Linked DNA regions of Cricetulus griseus. The protein of the gene in region 2 interacts with the protein of the main gene of each other region in a biochemical or structural test. Links are inferred from orthologs where the notes say so. Each region holds a gene or a part of one and is shown on either strand. Other genes may lie near its edges.

Region 1 (2,656 bases), on a different chromosome or scaffold from region 2:
TCAAAGAAACAGAAGGCATAGAAACCAAGAGCAAATACTTGCAGGAATTGGAGGAGGGGCCTTGGACAGTTGACTTGAGTGACACTCAGGACCCACTGTAGAGTGATCATGGAGTGTGCACTCATAGGTAGCTAATGTGCATACTGAGGTAGCTGAGGTAGGTTATCTGCCTGGATGTAGGCCCTTTCCTAAAGAGTTGTAGTCTACTTCCTACTGGAAGGTTCAAAGGTTCAGGAGAGTGTGTGCATGCCTGTGACACACATGACTGCTATGAGCTGCAGACTGGACAACTTATAAGTCCTGAAGGGTCATTGGACATTATATTGATGGAGAAATGAAGCCTTGTCCTCAAGGAGGAAGGACAGGACTTCCTAAGAATCCCACAGTATCATCTGTCCCAGCAAGAATCAGAATGAACTCTCCTAATGTTGTCTTCAGCCCCCAGTGTTGCTGGAAAGTGTGTGTGTGTGAGTGTGTGAGTGTGTGAGTGTGTGTGTGTGTGTGTGTGTGTGTGTGTGTGTGTGTGTACATGTGTGTTCATGCACACGTGTGCATGCATATGTATTTATCTGTTTAACACAGTTGTGCTTCTGAGATCTTGGGCTAGGCTCCCACACTGCCTACTTCCTTCTTGGGATACCGCCTGCCACAGTCGTCCTTACTGGATGTCCCTCTGAGTGGTATGAACTGCAGTTCCACTTTTTTGCTCATTTTCTTAGCACCTAATGTGTGACTGACCACAGAGATAACTCAAATGCCCCAGTGACCTTTTCCCTCTTCTTGTTTGACAGATTCAGAGCCCAGTACCTTGGACTCACAGTCTTCCACCACCTTGTTCCTGTCCTCAGAGGAGCCTGGCCCTTCTACAGCTGCACTGCCATCTCCATCCTCCTCCTGTGAGCCCCAGGCCTTCTCCCCAAGCTCCACCATGTTGCCCTCTCTCCTGCCACCTCTGTCCACTGCCTCTACAGCTCCAGGCCCCTGCATCCCTCGTCGTGGTGGGCTCTACACCATTGTCACCTCCTCCCCAGAGGCTGCACCCCACCTTGTTGACTGGCTGCCCAACTGCCCCTCTGCCACCTCTCCTGGTGTCCGAGGCAAGGATCACGAGCGACCACAGCCTGTGTTGGCCCCAGCTCCAGCTTTGGAAAGGGGCCACATTCAGCACCCAGGCTCTGCCAGGGATGATCATGCCGAGGGTCCTAGAACCTCCCCACCTCCCTGTGCCCCTGAAGTCACTATTGCTACCCTGGAGGCCAATGTTGGGGACATCCTGGTGGAGCTTCGGACAATGAATGGCCACCTGGACATTATAGCAAAGGCTCTCACTAAATTGGCCTCTTCCCTGGTACCCCAGCCCCAACCTGAAGCACCAGATACCAATTAAGGGAGTCTTGCATCTCCTAAAACAAAGGGATGCTGAGGGTACCACTCATCCCTGCTTCTCTGACCCTACCTGTGATGGAGATAAGCAAACCCGGTGGAAGAGCCAGTTACAGAACTAGGTTTGCTTACAGATTGGTCTTTCACTCAAAAGATGGAGCATCTCAAGCTGGTTCCAGGCATGTTGTAGCCTCTGTGCTTTCCTCCACCTTCAAATGCCCTTCTCTTATTTTAAATTCTGGTGAAAGCACTTCCAGAAGACTGTGTCAGGGCTTGGATCAAGGCGATTAGAGAAACAACGTTCCCTCCCAGTCCTCTGAGCCAAGAGAAGAGAGAAGAGGAGATCCTGTCGTCGTCATCAGAAACACCCTCCAGGACACCTCCAGCCTTCCTTTCTTGAGATGCTCATGGTGTGTCCACCCCTAGTGGATCTCACACACCTCTTTTCAAAAAGTATCTTTAGAAAAACAAATCAAGTTTCCTCATTTATACCTATGTTTCAAAAAGTTTGGGACATAGAGAAGGGATAAAACAAGGACATGGCAGAAAAGCTATGGGGGGTATTTAAGTCTTTCTTATTAATAAGAAAGCATCTTGTGTTACAAATAAAGTGTGCCTCTGTAGTCTGAGCGCTGGCTTCTGAGTTCCCCTCCTGTTCTCTGCTTTCTTCTTTCAGGTCATCATGGCTTCTCACCCTCCCTTACTCCTGGAGTCTTCAACTGTTTTCAGTACTTAGGATGAAGAAGCAGCTGAGGCTACTCACGAGTCTTAAAACTCTCAGTTCTCCCTAAATCTAATAAATTCATCTTTCCCCTCTGAACCGGAGTGGAAACCTAGTGACAGACAGTAGCCAGTGAGGAGGAAGCCAGCATCCCTGGCCTCTCTCTTCCCTAGATGTCTGCCACTTTCCCTACTGGGGACAACTCAAACTGTCTCCAGATGTTGCCAGTGTTCTCTGGCAGAAGGTCATAAATTTAGAAAAACCGACGTCCTCCTGAGGTCTCTCTTTCCCTAGTGGGGGCAGGATTCTTTTCCACCTTCCTTTTTGAAGTGGAACACACAGATACTGCCGGGGCATTCGCCAGAAGCTGACATCCTCAATAGGTCACTCAGTGGAAGCCAGTCGTTTCCCCAGAAAAAAACAAAACAACAACAACAAAAAAAAACCAAGGGTCTGAAGCCATATCACACTGTCGCCGAAATTTTCAGGGCACACAACTGGTGCACAAATAACAGCAGGGTCTGTTCAGTTGCCTCAGTCCCTAGTACTTCT
Region 2 (4,222 bases):
GCCGGCAGGGAAGGGGACAGTGAGTTGACCAGCTTCTAGTACCGGCATCAAGGAAGGTAATACTAACGCCTGGCAGCCCGGTACGGTGGACCTCATCCGCTCTACTTGCAGATGAGGCCAATAAAGCTCAGAGAAGTTCCGAGATTGCAGTTAGGCCATGAGAGAACCGAGCTTGCCACCTCTTTAGTCCTAAGTGGTGGAGAATGGAGGTCGGATAGCAGAACCCTAGGACAAAAACCACTTACATGTGTCTAGCGCTTCCTAGAGGCCACACAGGATATGAATCCACCAGCGGGCGGGGAGGGGAGACTTTAGCCTGCTTCTACCAGGGACTCCCGCTTAGGCAGCGTGACTTTCGGGCGAGTCGGCGGCGGCTCTCAAGACTTGTTTTCCCAGAAGCAAATCAGGAGCTGGGGGGTGGGGGGTAGGGCGGGCGCGGGTTGCGTATGCGCGAGACGCGCCCGGGCAAAGGCGATCGCTGGGGTTTCCTGAGTTTTGAACCCTTAAATGTTGATTTTGACCCCCATGGATGCTGGGGTCGCCCCTTTATTTCACGTCTAGAAAGCGCGTCCCTCTGAGGCAAAGCGAGCCCCTCCCCGCATGTCTCCAGAGGGTGAAGTGTTGTGCCGAGGACCCTGACGAGTCGGTTCTTAGTACCGCAAATCTCTAGCTTCCAGGTAGAGCACACAGCGGCACAGATCCTCCTCTGGAACTTAACCAAGAGATAAACTTCCACGCGTGCTCAACGTGGGAGGGACACTCAAGCCCGTTCAACTTCAACACACTTTCTCGCTCCCGCACCCGGGGCGCACACAACCATCTTCACCCGCGCCGCTGCCTCCCGGAAGTGTGGGGGTGCAGAGCCTGCTGGAGCTCAGGTCGCTCAGCCCCTTCACGTGTGTGCGTGTGTGTGCGTGTGTGTGTGTGCTTGTGTGTGCGTGCGTGCGCGCGCGCCACCTCCACTCCCCACCCAGGCCTTCCGCCCGGGGCCACTAGCGAGCCTCCCCAGCTTTCTGGATGCCGGTGTCTCGATCCCCGTCCCCAACCCTGAACTTGAGCCCGCCTCCGACAGACGCCGCAAGGGTCCAGCCGACCCGGCAGCCTCCGTCACTAGACAGCCAAACCAAGACGTCAGCCCACAATGCACCGGGCGGGCCGGGAAAGACGCGCCGGGGAGGGAACCCGGGAACACAAGCCTGAGCGCCGCGCGGGAGGGGGAGGGAGGAGGAGAAAGAAGGGCCCAACTGTAGGAGCGCAGCGGAGCATTACCTCATCCCGTGAGCCTTCGCGGGCCCAGAGAAGAATCTTCTGGGGTGAGGTCTCCATGGCGACAGGCGGGCCCGCCCCCCTGAGAGCGACGCAGGCCAATGGGAAGGCCTTGGGGTGACATCATGGGCTATTTTTAGGGGTTGACTGGTAGCAGATAAGTGTTGAGCTCAGGCTGGATAAGAAGGACTCAGAGTTGCACTGAGTGTGGCAGAGACGTCCTGGCAGGAACGCGCTCAGACAGAGAGGCAGAGAGAGAGAGCGGGACGGACGGAAGGAAGGACGGACGTTCTCGGCCAATCTGGACGGCCGCGGACTCCGGGCTGCTCATCTGTTTGTCTTCATTTTCTCACCGACTACCTGGACCCAGCGCCCGCGGCTCCAGCACCGGTGTTTTGGGGAGCACTTGGAGAGTCCCTTCTCCCGCCTTCCCCGGAGAAGCAGCTCGCAAGTCCCTGCGCTGCTGACAGCATCGAGAGCGGTGCCTGCCCGAGCGAGGAAATAGGCGAGCGGCTACGCCGACCACCAACTTTCCTGACCCAGAAGACCGGGAACAAGTGGCCCGGAGCGAACTTTTGCAAACCTTTTCAGCGCCTTAGGCTGCCCCCGAGACCGTAAAGAAAGGGGAGAAGAGGAAGAACCCACACTCAGCCCCGCTCGCACAGGCGGCTGAAGTTGGGCGAGCGCTAGCCGCGGCCGCCGAGCGTCCCCCTCCCCCTCACAGCGGAGGAGGGGACAGTTGTCGGAGTCCGGGCGGCGGAGCCCGATCGCGGGCTTCCACCGACAGTTCCGTGACGACTGGTCAGCGCCGCCGGAGAGCTGCTGTCGCTGGAGCTGGTCTGCGGTCTCCGAGGAACTGCTACTACCCGAGAGCGCTCCGCGAGTGACCGCGACTTTTCAAAGCCCGGCAGCGCGCGGGAGCCGACCAACGTGAGTGAAGGCGGTACCTTAACCCTGCGCTCCCTGGAGCGAGCTGGGGAGGAGGGCGCAGGGGGGGAGCACTGCCGACCGGAGCGCGCGCTCTTAGACAAACTTTACTTGTCACAGACGCAGGGACGCGCGGGTGTCCCCCGCTTCCCAGCGCGCTGTTGCGGCCCCGAAACTTCAGCGCGCAGCCCAGACGAACCCCGCGTGAACTGACCGACCGTTCTATGACTGCAAAGATGGAAACGACCTTCTACGACGATGCCCTCAACGCCTCGTTCCTCCAGTCCGAGAGCGGCGCCTACGGCTACAGTAACCCCAAGATCCTGAAACAGAGCATGACCTTGAACCTGGCCGACCCGGTGGGCAACCTGAAGCCGCATCTCCGCGCCAAGAACTCGGACCTCCTCACGTCGCCCGACGTTGGGTTGCTCAAGCTGGCGTCGCCCGAGCTGGAGCGCCTGATCATCCAGTCCAGCAATGGGCACATCACCACCACGCCGACCCCCACCCAGTTCTTGTGCCCCAAGAACGTGACCGACGAGCAGGAGGGTTTCGCCGAGGGCTTCGTGCGCGCCCTGGCCGAACTGCATAGCCAGAACACGCTGCCCAGCGTCACGTCGGCGGCACAGCCGGTCAGCGGTGCGGGCATGGTGGCTCCCGCGGTGGCTTCGGTAGCCGGCGCCAGCGGCGGCGGCGGCTACAGCGCCAGCCTACACAGCGAGCCTCCGGTCTACGCCAACCTCAGCAACTTCAACCCGGGTGCGCTGAGCAGCGGCGGCGGGGCGCCCTCCTACGGCGCGGCCGGGCTGGCCTTTCCGTCGCAGCCCCAGCAGCAGCAGCAGCCGCCTCAGCCGCCGCACCACTTGCCCCAACAGATCCCGGTGCAGCACCCGCGGCTGCAGGCCCTGAAGGAAGAGCCCCAGACCGTGCCCGAGATGCCGGGAGAGACCCCGCCCCTGTCCCCCATCGACATGGAGTCTCAGGAGCGGATCAAGGCGGAGAGGAAGCGCATGAGGAACCGCATCGCCGCCTCCAAGTGCCGGAAAAGGAAGCTGGAGAGGATCGCCCGGCTAGAGGAAAAAGTGAAAACCTTGAAAGCGCAAAACTCGGAGCTGGCGTCCACGGCCAACATGCTCAGGGAACAGGTGGCACAGCTTAAACAGAAAGTCATGAACCACGTTAACAGTGGGTGCCAACTCATGCTAACGCAGCAGTTGCAAACGTTTTGAGGACAGAGTGTCAGGGCTGAGGGGCAATGGAAGAAAAAAAATATAACAAAGACAGACTTGAGAACTTGACTGGTTGCGAAAGAAAAAAAAAAGTGCCCGAGTACCGAAGCCAAGGGTACACGAGATGGACTGGGTTGCGTCCTGACGGCGCCCCCAGTGTGCTGGAGTGGGAAGGACGTGGCGCGCCTTGCCTTGGCATGGAGCCAGAGAGCGGCGGCCTGTTGGCTGCTAGGCTTTGCGATCGGGCTGTGCCCGCGAGACCAGAACGATGGACTTTTCGTTAACATTGACCAAGAACTGCATGGACCTAACATTCGATCTCATTCAGTATTAAAGGGGGGCGGGGAGGGGTTACAAACTGCAATAGAGACTGTAGATTGCTTCTGTAGTGCTCCTTAAGAACACAAAGCAGGGAGGGCTAGGGAGGGGAGGGAGGCTCGTGAGTGCCAGGCTAGACTGCAGATGAACTCCCCTGGCCTGCCTTCCTCAACTGTGTATGTACATATATATTTTTTTTAATTTGATGAAAGCTGATTACTGTCAATAAACAGCTTCCTGCCTTTGTAAGTTATTCCATGTTTGTTTGTTTGGGTGTCCTGCCCAGTGTTGTTTGTAAATAAGAGATTTGAAGCATTCTGAGTTTACCATTTGTAATAAAGTATATAATTTTTTTATGTTTTGTTTCTGAAAATTTCCAGAAAGGATATTTAAGAAAATACAATAAACTATTGAAAAGTAGCCCCCAACCTCTTTGCTGCATTATCCATAGATAATAGTAGCTAGATGGAATAACAGCTGAA

The links.
Region 1: the proteins of transcription factor AP-1 (region 2) and Runx2 form a complex in vitro, tested with the Homo sapiens proteins (2 studies listed by BioGRID). The link is inferred for Cricetulus griseus from reciprocal best matches to the Homo sapiens genes JUN and RUNX2.

The regions. Positions count from the first base shown.
Region 1 is NW_023276807.1:30,828,250-30,830,905, reverse strand, and holds the end of Runx2 (runt-related transcription factor 2), read left to right. Parts: intron 1-791; coding exon 792-1,387; 3' UTR 1,388-2,013; downstream 2,014-2,656. UniProt on the Homo sapiens protein: Transcription factor involved in osteoblastic differentiation and skeletal morphogenesis. Essential for the maturation of osteoblasts and both intramembranous and endochondral ossification.
Region 2 is NC_048595.1:53,811,089-53,815,310, forward strand, and holds transcription factor AP-1, read left to right. Parts: upstream 1-1,327; 5' UTR 1,328-2,196; intron 2,197-2,313; 5' UTR 2,314-2,417; coding exon 2,418-3,422; 3' UTR 3,423-4,160; downstream 4,161-4,222. UniProt on the Homo sapiens protein: Transcription factor that recognizes and binds to the AP-1 consensus motif 5'-TGA[GC]TCA-3'.